Linked DNA regions of Canis lupus familiaris. The protein of the gene in region 3 purifies or fractionates together with the protein of the main gene of each other region. This does not show direct contact. Links are inferred from orthologs where the notes say so. Each region holds a gene or a part of one and is shown on either strand. Other genes may lie near its edges.

The links. The genes of interacting proteins can lie anywhere in the genome.
Region 1: the proteins of CEP290 (region 3) and CEP97 purify together in Homo sapiens (co-immunoprecipitation; 4 studies listed by BioGRID and IntAct, with this or other methods). This does not show direct contact. The link is inferred for Canis lupus familiaris from reciprocal best matches to the Homo sapiens genes CEP290 and CEP97.
Region 2: the proteins of CEP290 (region 3) and IQCB1 purify together in Homo sapiens (co-immunoprecipitation; 8 studies listed by BioGRID and IntAct, counting the BioPlex papers as one, with this or other methods). This does not show direct contact. The link is inferred for Canis lupus familiaris from reciprocal best matches to the Homo sapiens genes CEP290 and IQCB1.

Annotation. Positions count from the first base shown.
Region 1 is NC_049254.1:8,434,857-8,439,118, reverse strand, and holds the start of CEP97 (centrosomal protein of 97 kDa), read right to left. Parts: upstream 2,801-4,262; 5' UTR 2,266-2,800; coding exon of another isoform or gene 2,190-2,265; 5' UTR 2,064-2,189; coding exon of another isoform or gene 2,059-2,063; 5' UTR 1,763-2,058; exon of another isoform or gene 1,555-1,762; intron 507-1,554; exon of another isoform or gene 311-506; intron 1-310. Other genes in the region: RPL24 (60S ribosomal protein L24), read left to right, coding at 2,059-2,063, 2,190-2,265, 2,801-2,911. UniProt on the Homo sapiens protein: Acts as a key negative regulator of ciliogenesis in collaboration with CCP110 by capping the mother centriole thereby preventing cilia formation. Required for recruitment of CCP110 to the centrosome.
Region 2 is NC_049254.1:25,743,839-25,748,070, forward strand, and holds the start of IQCB1 (IQ calmodulin-binding motif-containing protein 1), read right to left. Parts: upstream 2,801-4,232; 5' UTR 2,728-2,800; intron 1-2,727. Other genes in the region: EAF2 (ELL-associated factor 2), read left to right, coding at 3,597-3,702. UniProt on the Homo sapiens protein: Involved in ciliogenesis. The function in an early step in cilia formation depends on its association with CEP290/NPHP6.
Region 3 is NC_049236.1:29,559,394-29,562,893, forward strand, and holds part of CEP290 (centrosomal protein of 290 kDa), read right to left. Parts: intron 1,570-3,500; coding exon 1,397-1,569; intron 368-1,396; coding exon 205-367; intron 1-204. UniProt on the Homo sapiens protein: Involved in early and late steps in cilia formation. Its association with CCP110 is required for inhibition of primary cilia formation by CCP110.

The sequences.
Region 1 (4,262 bases), on a different chromosome or scaffold from region 3:
GTTGTGAGTTCAAACCCCGCATTAGGCTCCAAACAATCAATCAATCAATCAATCAATCAATAAGAGTGTAAGGATAAAGTCACCAGAAATTTATAGATGGTGTTGGAAGCCGTTTTATGACAGTATATAAAATACTTTTAGAGGCTTCTGTATATTTTCTTCTTATTCTAAGAGTGTTTGAGCATAGTTTAAGGTGTGATATATACAATGTGTTACAAAGAACCCTAAGATGCCAGCTCAAGAATGCCCTCCAAGAAAGAGTAAAAGCCCTAAAATCCTTAAGGTCTAGTTTTCTGCTTTTCCTCCACAGAGCTACTCAGGCCAAACTTAATTTTGAAGACCAGTGAAATAAAATCTTCCTAAAATGCTTGGGAAGGTACTATAAATCCTGGGGTTCTGTGGATCAAATTCCTGCTTATAAATCTTGGCCCCATCTTCTACTCATTCCAGCTGGGCCTTATCGCCTATAGAAGCCAGGTCGTTTTCTTCTCTTTTTTTTTTTTTTTTTTTTCCCAAATGATCAAACATCTGTTTAATCAGGAGTGATTTAAAACAAAGAGAGCAAATAATAATAATAATAATAATAATAATAATAAACAAAGAGAGCTGTATCAATGTCATAGCTAAGTTCATCAAGCCATGGGAGCCCGAGGCGTCCATCTGCCCATAGTGTATTTAAACAATGTATTCCAAGTAACCAGGTATTCTGAAAAACTGGTAAGAGTTGGTTGGAATGTCAAATTCCTCCCCTTTGCTTTTTTTTTTTTTTTTAATTTTATTTATTTATGATAGTCACAGAGAGAGAGAGAGAGAGAGAGAGAGAGAGAGGCAGAGACGCAGGCAGAGGGAGAAGCAGGCTCCATGCACCGGGAGCCCGACGTGGGATTTGATCCCGGGTCTCCAGGATAGCGCCCTGGGCCAAAGGCAGGCGCCAAACCGCTGCGCCACCCAGGGATCCCTCCCCTTTGCTTTTTGATTCCACGCTGATCTCTATTAACTCATTCTTATTTTTTAAGATCTTATTTTTAAGTAATCTCTATGCCCAAGGTGGGGCTCAAACTCACACTCCCAAAATCAAGAGTCACACGCTCCACTGACTGAGCAGCCAGGTGCCCCTCTATGAGCTCATTCTTGAGACTGGTCCCAGCATAACCGTACAGCTTCCAACATCTTAACATCAGTCAGCCACCTCGTTGCACTTTCCAGATCTTTCCACCTACCACTTACCGATGCTTTTTAGAGGGAGCAGCTTATACAGGCAGCATCAATCATTGCATTTTTGTTTCCTAGTCAAATCCTGCAAAACGCCATTCAAGGACTGCCTCCTTCCATTACCCCCCAACATGCTGCTCCTTTCTAGCGTCACGGGGCTCAAGCTATTGAGGCACTGCCCCCCCCGTGGGCTTGGCCAGGGCTCCCTTTCCCAAGCCTCGGAGCAAGGGCTTTGCCTTTCACTGTTCCACCACCTGCCCCCGGGCTGCAATAGGCGGAAGGTGACGCCTCCTCTTCCCAGACAGGCGGCTGTCACTTCGCAGGGCCTCGGCGCGTACTCACTGGGGATTTCGTAAACTCTACACAAGTGCGTGTAAATGCTCCGGCATACTCCCTAGCGCAGAAAGAGAAGTCCATGAATGCCGATCAGTGCAAGGCGTGGGAGCCACTTCAGATGGCATTACTATTTTCCAAAGCTGAAACCATTAAAATTTGATTTTGCTGGTGAAGTTCGTGGGGCAGCACGGAGCTGTGTGACTTGAAGTTTTACCTGTGGGTATTGGCTGTCGGTCACCGGGCTGTGCACGTCCCACTCGGCGCGGCAGGACCACGCTCAGGACCCCCGACCGCAGGAGACGCCACGACCGCGAAACCGACCGCGCGCCCCGCGCCCCGCGCGCCGGCTCCGCCTTCAGCGGAAGGAGGCGGCTGTGGCTGACGTCATCGCCGAGCGCCGGGGTTACGGAAGGGACTCGGGGAGGGGCTCGGCCTGCCGGCTTATAAGGCTTCTTCCCATGATGCTCTCCTTCTCTTCGCCGTCTCGCCGTCTTCCCGGCCGCCGCAGCCATGAAGTGAGCAAGACCCCGGGCCGCAATCCGCTTCCATCCTCGGGCCGAGCCGCCTTCGCACGTCCTGGGCTCGGCTGCCCCTTGCCGTCGACACCCCCCCTAACGGGCTCTCTTGGCTTTTTGTTACAGGGTCGAGCTGTGCAGTTTCAGTGGGTACAAGATTTACCCCGGACATGGCAGGCGCTACGCCAGGACCGACGGGAAGGTGAAAGGCCGCTTGCGCCCCTAGGAGGGGAGCGGCCCGGTTGGGTCTAAGCGTGTGCACGTCCCCCCTCGCTCCCGGCCCCTGAGGCGCTTGTTGCGGGCGCCGCGGGTGCAGTGGCTGTTAGGATAGGAAGCCTCGGAGTGAGCCGATTTCCGAGGCTGGACGTAGTGTGAGCGAGGTCGGAGGTTAGGAGTTTGGGAACTCCGGCGGCCCGGGGAACGGACGGCCCAAGCACCTGGCTATGCTGGGGGCACCAGGCCTCTCGGGACCCGGGTAGGGACCGGGCTGGATGCCTCCCGGGATGCCCCGCCCGTCCCTGCCCCGGGAGCTTCGGTTCACCGGCTTCCGTGTCGGCAGGACGGATGCCCCAAGGCCTCGGGGTGCCACCCGCTCCTGCCGGCCGTGACCCGCACACAGCCTTTTGGTCTCTGGGCCAGGGAGGCGGTAGAAGTGAGAGTCTGCAGGGTTCCAAGCTCAGCCTCCCGCTTGGTTCAGTCGAGTGGCTGAGCTGACCGCCTTGGACGTGTTCCTGCAGGTCTTCCAGTTTCTTAACGCAAAATGCGAGTCGGCCTTCCTTTCCAAGAGGAACCCTCGGCAGATCAACTGGACTGTCCTCTACAGAAGAAAGCACAAAAAGGGACAGTCGGTAAGTTAACTGCAGTCTGGTCTTGGGGGGGCTCTTAAATTTAAACTGAGCATCAGGTGCCGCCCTGTAAAATTGTAAAGGAGACAGGACGTGAGAGTGCTCTTAGGCTGTAAAGCATCAGTGAAGCGAAGACGACTGGTACGCTCGTCTCCTTATACATCAGGCTCACGGGAACGTCGAGTTGAAATTTAGAAGCATCCGCTTGCCAAAGTAGGTAACTCCTATTAAGTATACATCTGTAGAAGTCATTCAGAGGTTCCAGTGGGTGGAAGTTAAGTAGTCTGGTAACTTGGTTTTGAAGGTTTACAGGATTAGTTCTAAGGGCTGTCACTGGAATCTTCAGCATCTTGCTTTGTTCTCAAGATTGTTTTTTTTGAAGCGCTCTTTGACCTTGATGGAGACTTTTGAGGAAAGGTTTTTGTGCTCTGGCAGTAGGATTAGTGTCTAGGAAGGCTCAGAATATTTTAGTGAACACCTGGGTGAAAGACACCAGTAGGTATTGTGGGAGCTCAGATGAAGGAGAAATTTATTTCTAACTTAGATTTGACACACCCATTAGGATAGTCCGTATCCAGAAAAGGGAAGATTACCAATGTTGCTGAAGGTGTGGAGAAATCAGAACTTTGGTGCATTGCTGAATGTGAGATGGTACAGGCACTGGAAATGGTCTCACAGTTTCTCAAAAAGCTAAATGGAACTATATCCAGCAACTCTACTTATAGGAGTATACCCAAGGAAACTAAGCAGGAACCTAACACAAATAATTTTTTTTTTCTTGTTATGATTTTGACTTGATTCCACAACCATGATTTTGACAGCACAGGCAGCAGGAGAGGGAGAAGCAGGGAGGCCAATGTGGGACTCTGGGGCTCAGGGCTCCTGGGATCATGACCTGAGCCAAAGGCAGATAGATGCTTAACTGACTGAACCATCCAGGTGCCCCAAGACAGATAACTAATATACGAGTGTTTATAGCACTGGTTATTCACAATAGCCAAAATATGGAAACAGCCCAAATGGCCTATCCATGGGTGAACGGATAACAAAACATTACACACACACAATGGAATATTATTCAGCCTTAAGAAGCTGGTAACTAGCCAATATAATAAACCTTGAAGACATACTAAGTCAAATAAGCCAGACACAGAAGTACAAATATTGTTTAAGTTCACCTTTATGGGGTGCGTATAGTGACAAATTCATAAAGGCAAAGTAGAGATTACTAGAGGCTGGGCAGTGGAAGCAATGGGGCATTTGGAGTGATGAAAAAGTTAGAGATGGGATCCCTGGGTGGCGCAGCGGTTTGGCGCCTGCCTTTGGCCCAGGGCGCGATCCTGGAGACCCGGGA
Region 2 (4,232 bases), on a different chromosome or scaffold from region 3:
TTCTGGTTTTTCTAACTAGAATACTTTTAAAAGAGCTAGAAACTCCTATAACTTACTGTGACAGCTACGGTACATATTATCTATTATGCACCAAGAGTCAGGAAGTACTAGGTGCTCCACATTCACTCTCTCTGATCTGCACAATAATCCAGGGATAGAAACTGCTTTCTTTTATCTTTTAAAAGAGACACTGGGTGCAGAAAAGAGCTAACATAGACCCGAGACAAGATTGGCCCTGCTGGTGCCTAGGAACTTGGATTTCAGAGGGTTTCCATGATTCCCGAGTAAGAGTGGCTCACTGTGCCCAAAGTGTGTGAAAACAATGTGGTTTATGCAGAATGTCTGTTTCCTTCCAGAAATTTGGAATTCTGGTACTAGGTAGTAGAGGATACCTACATGATCATATTTCAATAAATACCTTTGTCACTGAATCTCCAGTGAGCTTCTATGGTAGACAATACTTCAAACTGTCACAACTCATTATAGAAGAATTAAGTGTGTCAAATGTGAATTCATGGGGAGAAGATTCCTGGAAGTTTACACCAGTTTTCCTTGGGATTTTGCCTCATTTGCCTTTTCTCTGTGTTGATTTTGCTTTGTATCCTTTCACTGTAGTAAATCATAGCCATGGGACTCTTAGGTGGCTCAGCGGTTGAGCGGTCTGCCTTTGGTTTCAGGGCATGATCCTGGAGTCCAGAGATCGGGTCCCACATCGGGCCCCCGCAGGAGTCTGCTTCTTCCTCTGCCTGTCTCTCTGCCTCTCTCTCTCTCATGAATAAATAAATAAATCTTGAAAAAAATCATAGTTATGAATCTGATTATATCTTAAGAACTGTGAGCCTTCCCAATGAATCACTGAACCTGGCGTTGGTCTTGTTGTGTGTTGATCTCCAACACACAACTTGGAAATGAGATGTTAATTATAACATAAATAGAAGCTTGTCTATAAACAGAAGAGTATATAAAATCCATTATTTTAAAGTCAAAAAACGCATCCCAATTTTATTTGCTAAAACTTTTCTGTATGAAAAAGTTTTATATATGTTATACAAACATATGTTGAAAGAAGGGATAAATGCACAAACTTTGGGCATTTCAAAGCTTAATTTCTTGACTCTCTGCTTTCTTCCTTATTACAATATGGAAACCTCAGATTTCTAATTAGTAGTCTTTTTTAAGTAAAATAGGCTTAAAACACAGCTCTTGCCCTCTGGTTAACATACTAAAACACCCGTGAAACATTATCATCATCACCAAACACATGCGTAGGGCACAATGTTGGATGCATGGGTCACAAGAATTTTATATGGGACCAAAGTCCCTGATATTCATGTTCTGTTTGGGAAAGAAAAAAGTATACATGCACATATATACACATATGTGATATAAAATAATTATATAAACTACTTTAAGTGCCAAATAGATAACACAAATGATAAGAAAACAGACCGCATAGTCAGAAAACTGGGCTTCTCTGAATCAGTTTTCTTATCTGTAAACAAATTAGCAATTCCTACTTTCTAGAATAACTAAAGGTTTTGAAAAGAAAGTAGAAACCAAGGATGGTTCTAAAATGTTACCAGAGGGACGCCTGCGTGGCTCAGAGGTTGAGCCTCTGCCTTTGGCTCAGGGCGTGATCCTGGGGTCCCGGGATCGGGTCCCAGGACCGGCTCCCTGCATGAAGCCTGTTTCTCCCTCTGCCTGTGTCCCTGCCTGTCTCTCTGTGTCACTCATGAATAAATAAATAAAATCTTCAAGAAATAAAAAATAAAATAAAAAAATGTTGTCGGACAGTAGGGTTACACATCAATAATGGTAACCATTTGAAGAGCTTTTCCTGTGTGCTGTGAATGGTTTTAAATCCTTTCATGTATTAATTCACTTAACCCTCTCAACAACTCTAAGGAGTAAACACTATTATCCACCCCCCACCCCCCAATTTTAACGATGAGCATACTTTAGTTTGCATGAAGTTACACTGTAAAGTATGAATTCATGCTGCGGTTCAAATACAAAAATTCTGGCTCCAGGGGCAGCCCAGGGGGCCCAGTGGGTTAGCCCCGGAAGGCCGGGGGTGTGATCCTGGGGTCCTGGGATCGAGTCCCATGTCGGGCTCCCTGCATGCAGCCTGCTTCTCCCTCTGCCTGCGTCTCTGCCTCTGTCTCTCATGAATAAATAAATAAAATCTTAAAAAAAAAAAATTTGAAAAGGGGAGAAATCCCTGTGTGGCTCAGCAGTTTAGTGCCTGCCTTCAGCCCAGGGCATGATCCTGGAGACCCGGGGTTGAGTCCCACGTCAGGATCCCTGCGTGAAGCCTGCTTCTCTCCCTCTGCCTCTCTCTCTCTCTCTCCCTCTCTCATGAGTAAATAAATAAAATCTTAAAAAAAAAAAAATTCTGGCTCCAGCACCTGAGCGCTTAATTACAACACTACACAGCCTTCCTAAGTCCTTTCAAGAGTAAAACTGAGACAAGCAGACAGATTGAGGAGCCCTAGTCACCTACTCGCCCAGAACAATAAATCTGCAAATTTGGCTACGGTACAGGTCAAGTAAGGGAGCAGAGCGTAATTACACACTTACCCTGAAAAGCCACCACCCGTTCCGGCAACCGTCTGTAAACTTTCTCCTCACACAACCCTTCCCTCCTCATCTTTATCCTGACACTCATGAACTTTTGACAGAAAAAAAAAAAAAGGCAATTATTTTTCAATTATTAATGCTATTTACCCTGTTGTCACAGCACGAGCTGGGGCCTGAGGCTTGGGGAAGTCGTCTTCCTGGGCCTGCCGTTACTGCCTCCAAAGATCCCTGGGAAGGAAATAAATAAAAGGCTACTTGATGCAACGTGGCTGCCGCTGATCCTAAACGCCGCCGCAGTTCCTAACTCCGAATCTTTTTTTTTTTTTTTTTCCCTTCTCCTTCCTCCCCGTCCCCGGTCGGGACCCTCACAGCACCGGGGACTTTCTCTGAACAGGAGGCGATCCCGAGGTAACGGCGTCGCCGCCGGTGAGGTCCCAGGTCCGAGGCTCCGAGGCAGCGAGCTCCTTCGCTCCGGATCCTCCACCTGCTCCGGCGCCACCAGGCCGCGGGCAACACGCACCGCGGGCCCCCGCTCCCGCCCCTCCCCGGGCCTCAGTTTCCACCACAGATCTCCACAGAAACGGGGCAGACTCTCCCGCTGGGAGCTCCCCGGTGCCGGGACGCTGGGCCCAGGCCTCCCTCTCGCTCCCCGGCCGCCGCCCCGGCCGGCTTACCTCAGCCTCTCTCGGCGTTCCCCCGCCGCAGCTCCCGACTCCCACCACGCACCTCCGCCGCGCGGCCTCCCCGGGACGCCGTGCGTCGCGACGCGGGAAAGGCACCCGGAGGCGGGAGCGGGATCCTGGAGCGGGATCCTGGAGCGGGGCGGGGCGCCCTTCCGGGCAGCCAATCAGCACTCGAGGGGCGCCGGGGGGCGGGGCGGGGGAGGGCGCGCGCGTCCGGCGGGGGGCGGAGTCTGCAGGCCGCCCTGGCGGCCGCAGGTGCAGCTGCTCCGGGACCAGGTGGCCGCTGGAAGCGAGCGCAGGTGGCGGCGGCGAAGCTGGAGCCGGAGAGTCAAGATGAATGCAGCAGCGGGACCGGCGTCCAGGGACCGGCGCGAGCGGGTTCTCAAGTTAGGCGAGAGTTTTGAGAAGCATCCGCGCTGCGCCTTCCACACCGTACGCTGTGAGTGAGGACGGTCCCCGGGAGGAAGGGGGGACTCTGGCCGTGTGGGGAAGTGGAGGCACAAACCTCTCCGGAGTCGTGTTGCCACAGACACCCCCCCTTGCTCTGCTGGGAAATGGGGTGCCCGGCGCTATCCGCTGCCCTGCCTGGAGTCCCGGGCGGTTCGTGGAAGGAGCCGGAGTTGAGCAGCTGTGCGTAAACCCTGTGCAGACAGATTCCAGGGGATCGGGAAGCAGAGAGGGAAACTTTGCGGAGCTGTCCCGGGGTGCTGCCGATGAACGCGCAAATAGTAAGGTGACAGCTGGAAGGGCGCAAAGGACCCACCTTTGTGGAGAGGGGGAGCCAATGCCCTGAGGCTGATAGGGAAATATTCCCTCCCCAGTTCACTTTTACTGTCTCTGGCTGATGAGAGGTCTTGTTTAGTCTGTTCCTTGGGTAGATATTCTTTTTCTTTCTTTCTTTTTTTCGGGGGGCGGGGGTAGATATTCTGAACCATCTCAGTAAACTGCATCTCTTTTGAACCTTTGATT
Region 3 (3,500 bases):
GATGCCAGACAGAATAAGCAGTGCTCTAGGCTGGCCCAGTCACCATCCCAACCCCATTAAATCCCTCATCCCACATCAATCACACTGATTTAGAAGGGTTTATCTGGGGGGGAAGAGGGGGAAGCACTCAACTATTTAAAAATAAACAAAACATGGCTTGACAGCTAAGACTGATAAAACTATGGATCTTAAAAAATGACTTACCCACACGCTCCCTCAGTGCTTCATTTTCATCAAGGAAATCATTGATCTTCAACTCAAGTTTATTGATTTCCTTTGTCAATACTTCAATCTCTCGATCTCTTATTTTAATTTGGTTTTTACAATTCTTTATTTCAATAACAGCATCTTCTAAACCATATACTCCCTGAAAAATATCCAATCTAATTTATGTATAATGTGGTTTATTTGAATAAATTATGAAATTCATGATTTTCTTATTAAGTCTGAGGGAAAGTATAGTTATATGTAAGATTTATGTCTTTAAACTGTGCTTTTAAAAAACAAATCCAGTAATAACAACGGAAAATGGAACAGCTGAAACTTTCTAGTATAGCGTTCTATCGACAAAGTGACTCAGAGAATGACATATAAAATACCTAACAAGGGGAGACTGGGTGGGTCAGTGGGTTAAGCATTCAGCTCATTACTGATCTGAGGACTGTGAGATCGATCGAGCCTGCAGCCAGTTCTATGCTGGGCACTGGGCATGGAGCCTGCTTAAGATTCTCTTTCTCCCTCTCCCTTCCATCATCCTACTCAGGCTCTCCCTCTCTTGAAAAATAAATAAATAAAATAAAGGTAGTGAATATTGACTATTATAAGACCATGCTAGATGATTCAGGGGGTATGAAGACAAATCAGATGTTCATACTGTCTCTAGGGAGCTCCTTATCCATCCCTCTCAAAAAAACAAAAAACATTTAACAAAATATAGGAAAGGAATAATAAGAGTGAATCAGTGACACCATTAGTAAGCCATTAGTGGCTTGACTTGGTGGCAATCAGATTTAAAAATACAAAAAGTACAAAGTAAGTACTGTGTGTTGGCACAGTAGGCAGCAAAACTGTCCCTGAAATAGCTTTTAGCAAATAAACGAGTGGTGTCACATGCATATGGTGGCACAATGACACAGATTACAAAGAAACTAAACTTGCTGTTTCACCAAAGCTGATTATCTGAGCAAAAGGTTTTGATCAAATGGTTAGAAAACAATTCTGCTGAAAAGTAAATGCTGCTCAAAGGTCTGAATAGTGTAGTATAAACCAACTAAGATAACCTTTATCATAAAATACTTCTGGAATGTCTTTGAAAGTACAAAGTAAATAGCACAGAACAGTCTGGGAGTGGCAAGAATAATCTAAACTCCCTGATTGACATGATAAAAATACATACCGATTCATAATCTTTTAATCGCTTTAGAGTCTCAACTAGTTCTTTATCCTTTTCCCTAGCATCAGCCTCAGCCAGTTCAGCTGTTCTCTCAGCCTCTTTAGTTTTCTCTTCTAACATTTGAACCTTAGACTGAATTTTCATATAATGAGTCTGTTGGGAAAGAGTTGAAGCACCTACAGGGTAAAAAACAAACAAACAAAACCCATGAATTAATTGAATTGATTACTCATTCCTTTAAATCCCTGATTCCAATACAGGAAGCAAGAAAAGTGGTTCATCACTAAAAAAGTCCCTTTAATATTATAATTTTATATTTGAAAAATAAAATTTGTTTTCATTTTATTGATAGGACAAGCTTAAAAAGTTAACAGAAAACCTTAGCTGAAGGGTTATGGATTATAAAAGATTGCAAAACACTGCTTGATAAAGAAGGATCATTGTGACAAAAAGTACTAGCTATCTGTTCCTAATGTTCAACCTTTGTTGAACTGTAATAGAACAACACAATTTTAGTTGTGGACACGTGGCCATTTGAAATAAAGACTAAATTTCCACTTGTACCCCAGCGGTGTGGTCATGGGGCTAATGGGATATAAGAACAAGCCATGTGTGTATTTCAGGAAATGTTTTTAAGAGAGAGGAGTGAATTTTTTCTCTTTTCTCCTTCCTACTAGCTGGAATATGGATATTACGTCTGGAACTCGACCACTAAGAACACAACATGGATACTACATGTTGAGATAGGCAGGGCAGCAAATTACACGATGTCTGATACACGATTATTTGTGCAGTTATCATACCAACCCCAAACCAGTTGCCTCAACTTTGTTTATATCATGGAAAAATGCATTTCTATCCTGTTTAAACCACTGCTATATTTGATTTTTTCTGTCACTTGCAGCTAAACTTAATAGCTAAAAAAAATCTCTACTTATATTTTACCAAGCTGGTGCTAGACCAAAAAACAATATTCCTTTTATCGACGCAAATCATTCTAACCTACCCTAAGTGTTCTACTGATTTATAGAGCATACACTTACGTGTAGGCATTGGACTAGTGTGGGACAGCACGCATGTTTATAAGAAATGGGCTTCATTCTCTGGAGTGAAAAGCCTAGATGGAGAATGTGAGAGTGTCTACTCTCATTTCTTCAGTGTGGCTCTCCACAATATATTTGTCTGCCTATCCTCCAGCATGTGCTATTTGCCTCTAGCTCCACCTCCTCCACCTTGCTGTTTGGGATGTGGATATGAGGGTAATGCTCCATTTTGGACAAGACAGAGGAGGGCAACATCCTGGGTTGCCTAATTCTACACCATCACACAAGTGAGAAAAATAAACTTCTATCTTGATTTTGCCACCATTTTCCAGATCTCTAGCTCTGACAGCTAAACCTAATTCTAACCAATGAAAAGAAACCACCATCAGTATCATATTTACAAATATAGAGTATATTCTAGGACACACACCTTCTGTGGACTTCATGGATCATATGCCTATGGACTGACTGAAATGTCATTAGACAAGGCCTCTTTCTTATTTGATAGCAGAGATCAACTGCCACTTTTTCTCCTGGTGGCTGGAATATGCAAAACCCATGCTGTCAGGCATGCTTTTAAAAGCAGTTTAACCTACTGTCAAAGTACAATTGTAAATACAGAAATAAGTATAGAAATAAGTATATAAAAATAAGTGTAACAAGTGGGCCTTGCTATTGGCTCAGCAATCATATTCCATTTCCCTGGTCTGTTTATTCTTCTAGATGATCATTTCATACCTTCTCTTTTCTCCTCTCTACTCAAACGTTAACCTGTCCTCCCCTATTCTTTCAGCTGAGAACCTTGCTTCCTATACTGAGAAAAAAGGAGCAATCAGTACAGAAGCTTTACCTGCTCCCACCATCAGGTCATCTCCACAGTCACTGCAGCTGTTCCTACATGCTCCACTTCTTTCCCTGTTATTATGGACAAATTCTTTGTGCTCCTAAGGCCAACTACCCCACTGGAATGCTAGATTCCAGCCCCCTGCCTTTTCAAGGATATTGTTCCAGAAGTTCTCTCTCTCTCTCTCTCTCTCCTGCTTCATCGTATTAATTTTCCTCTT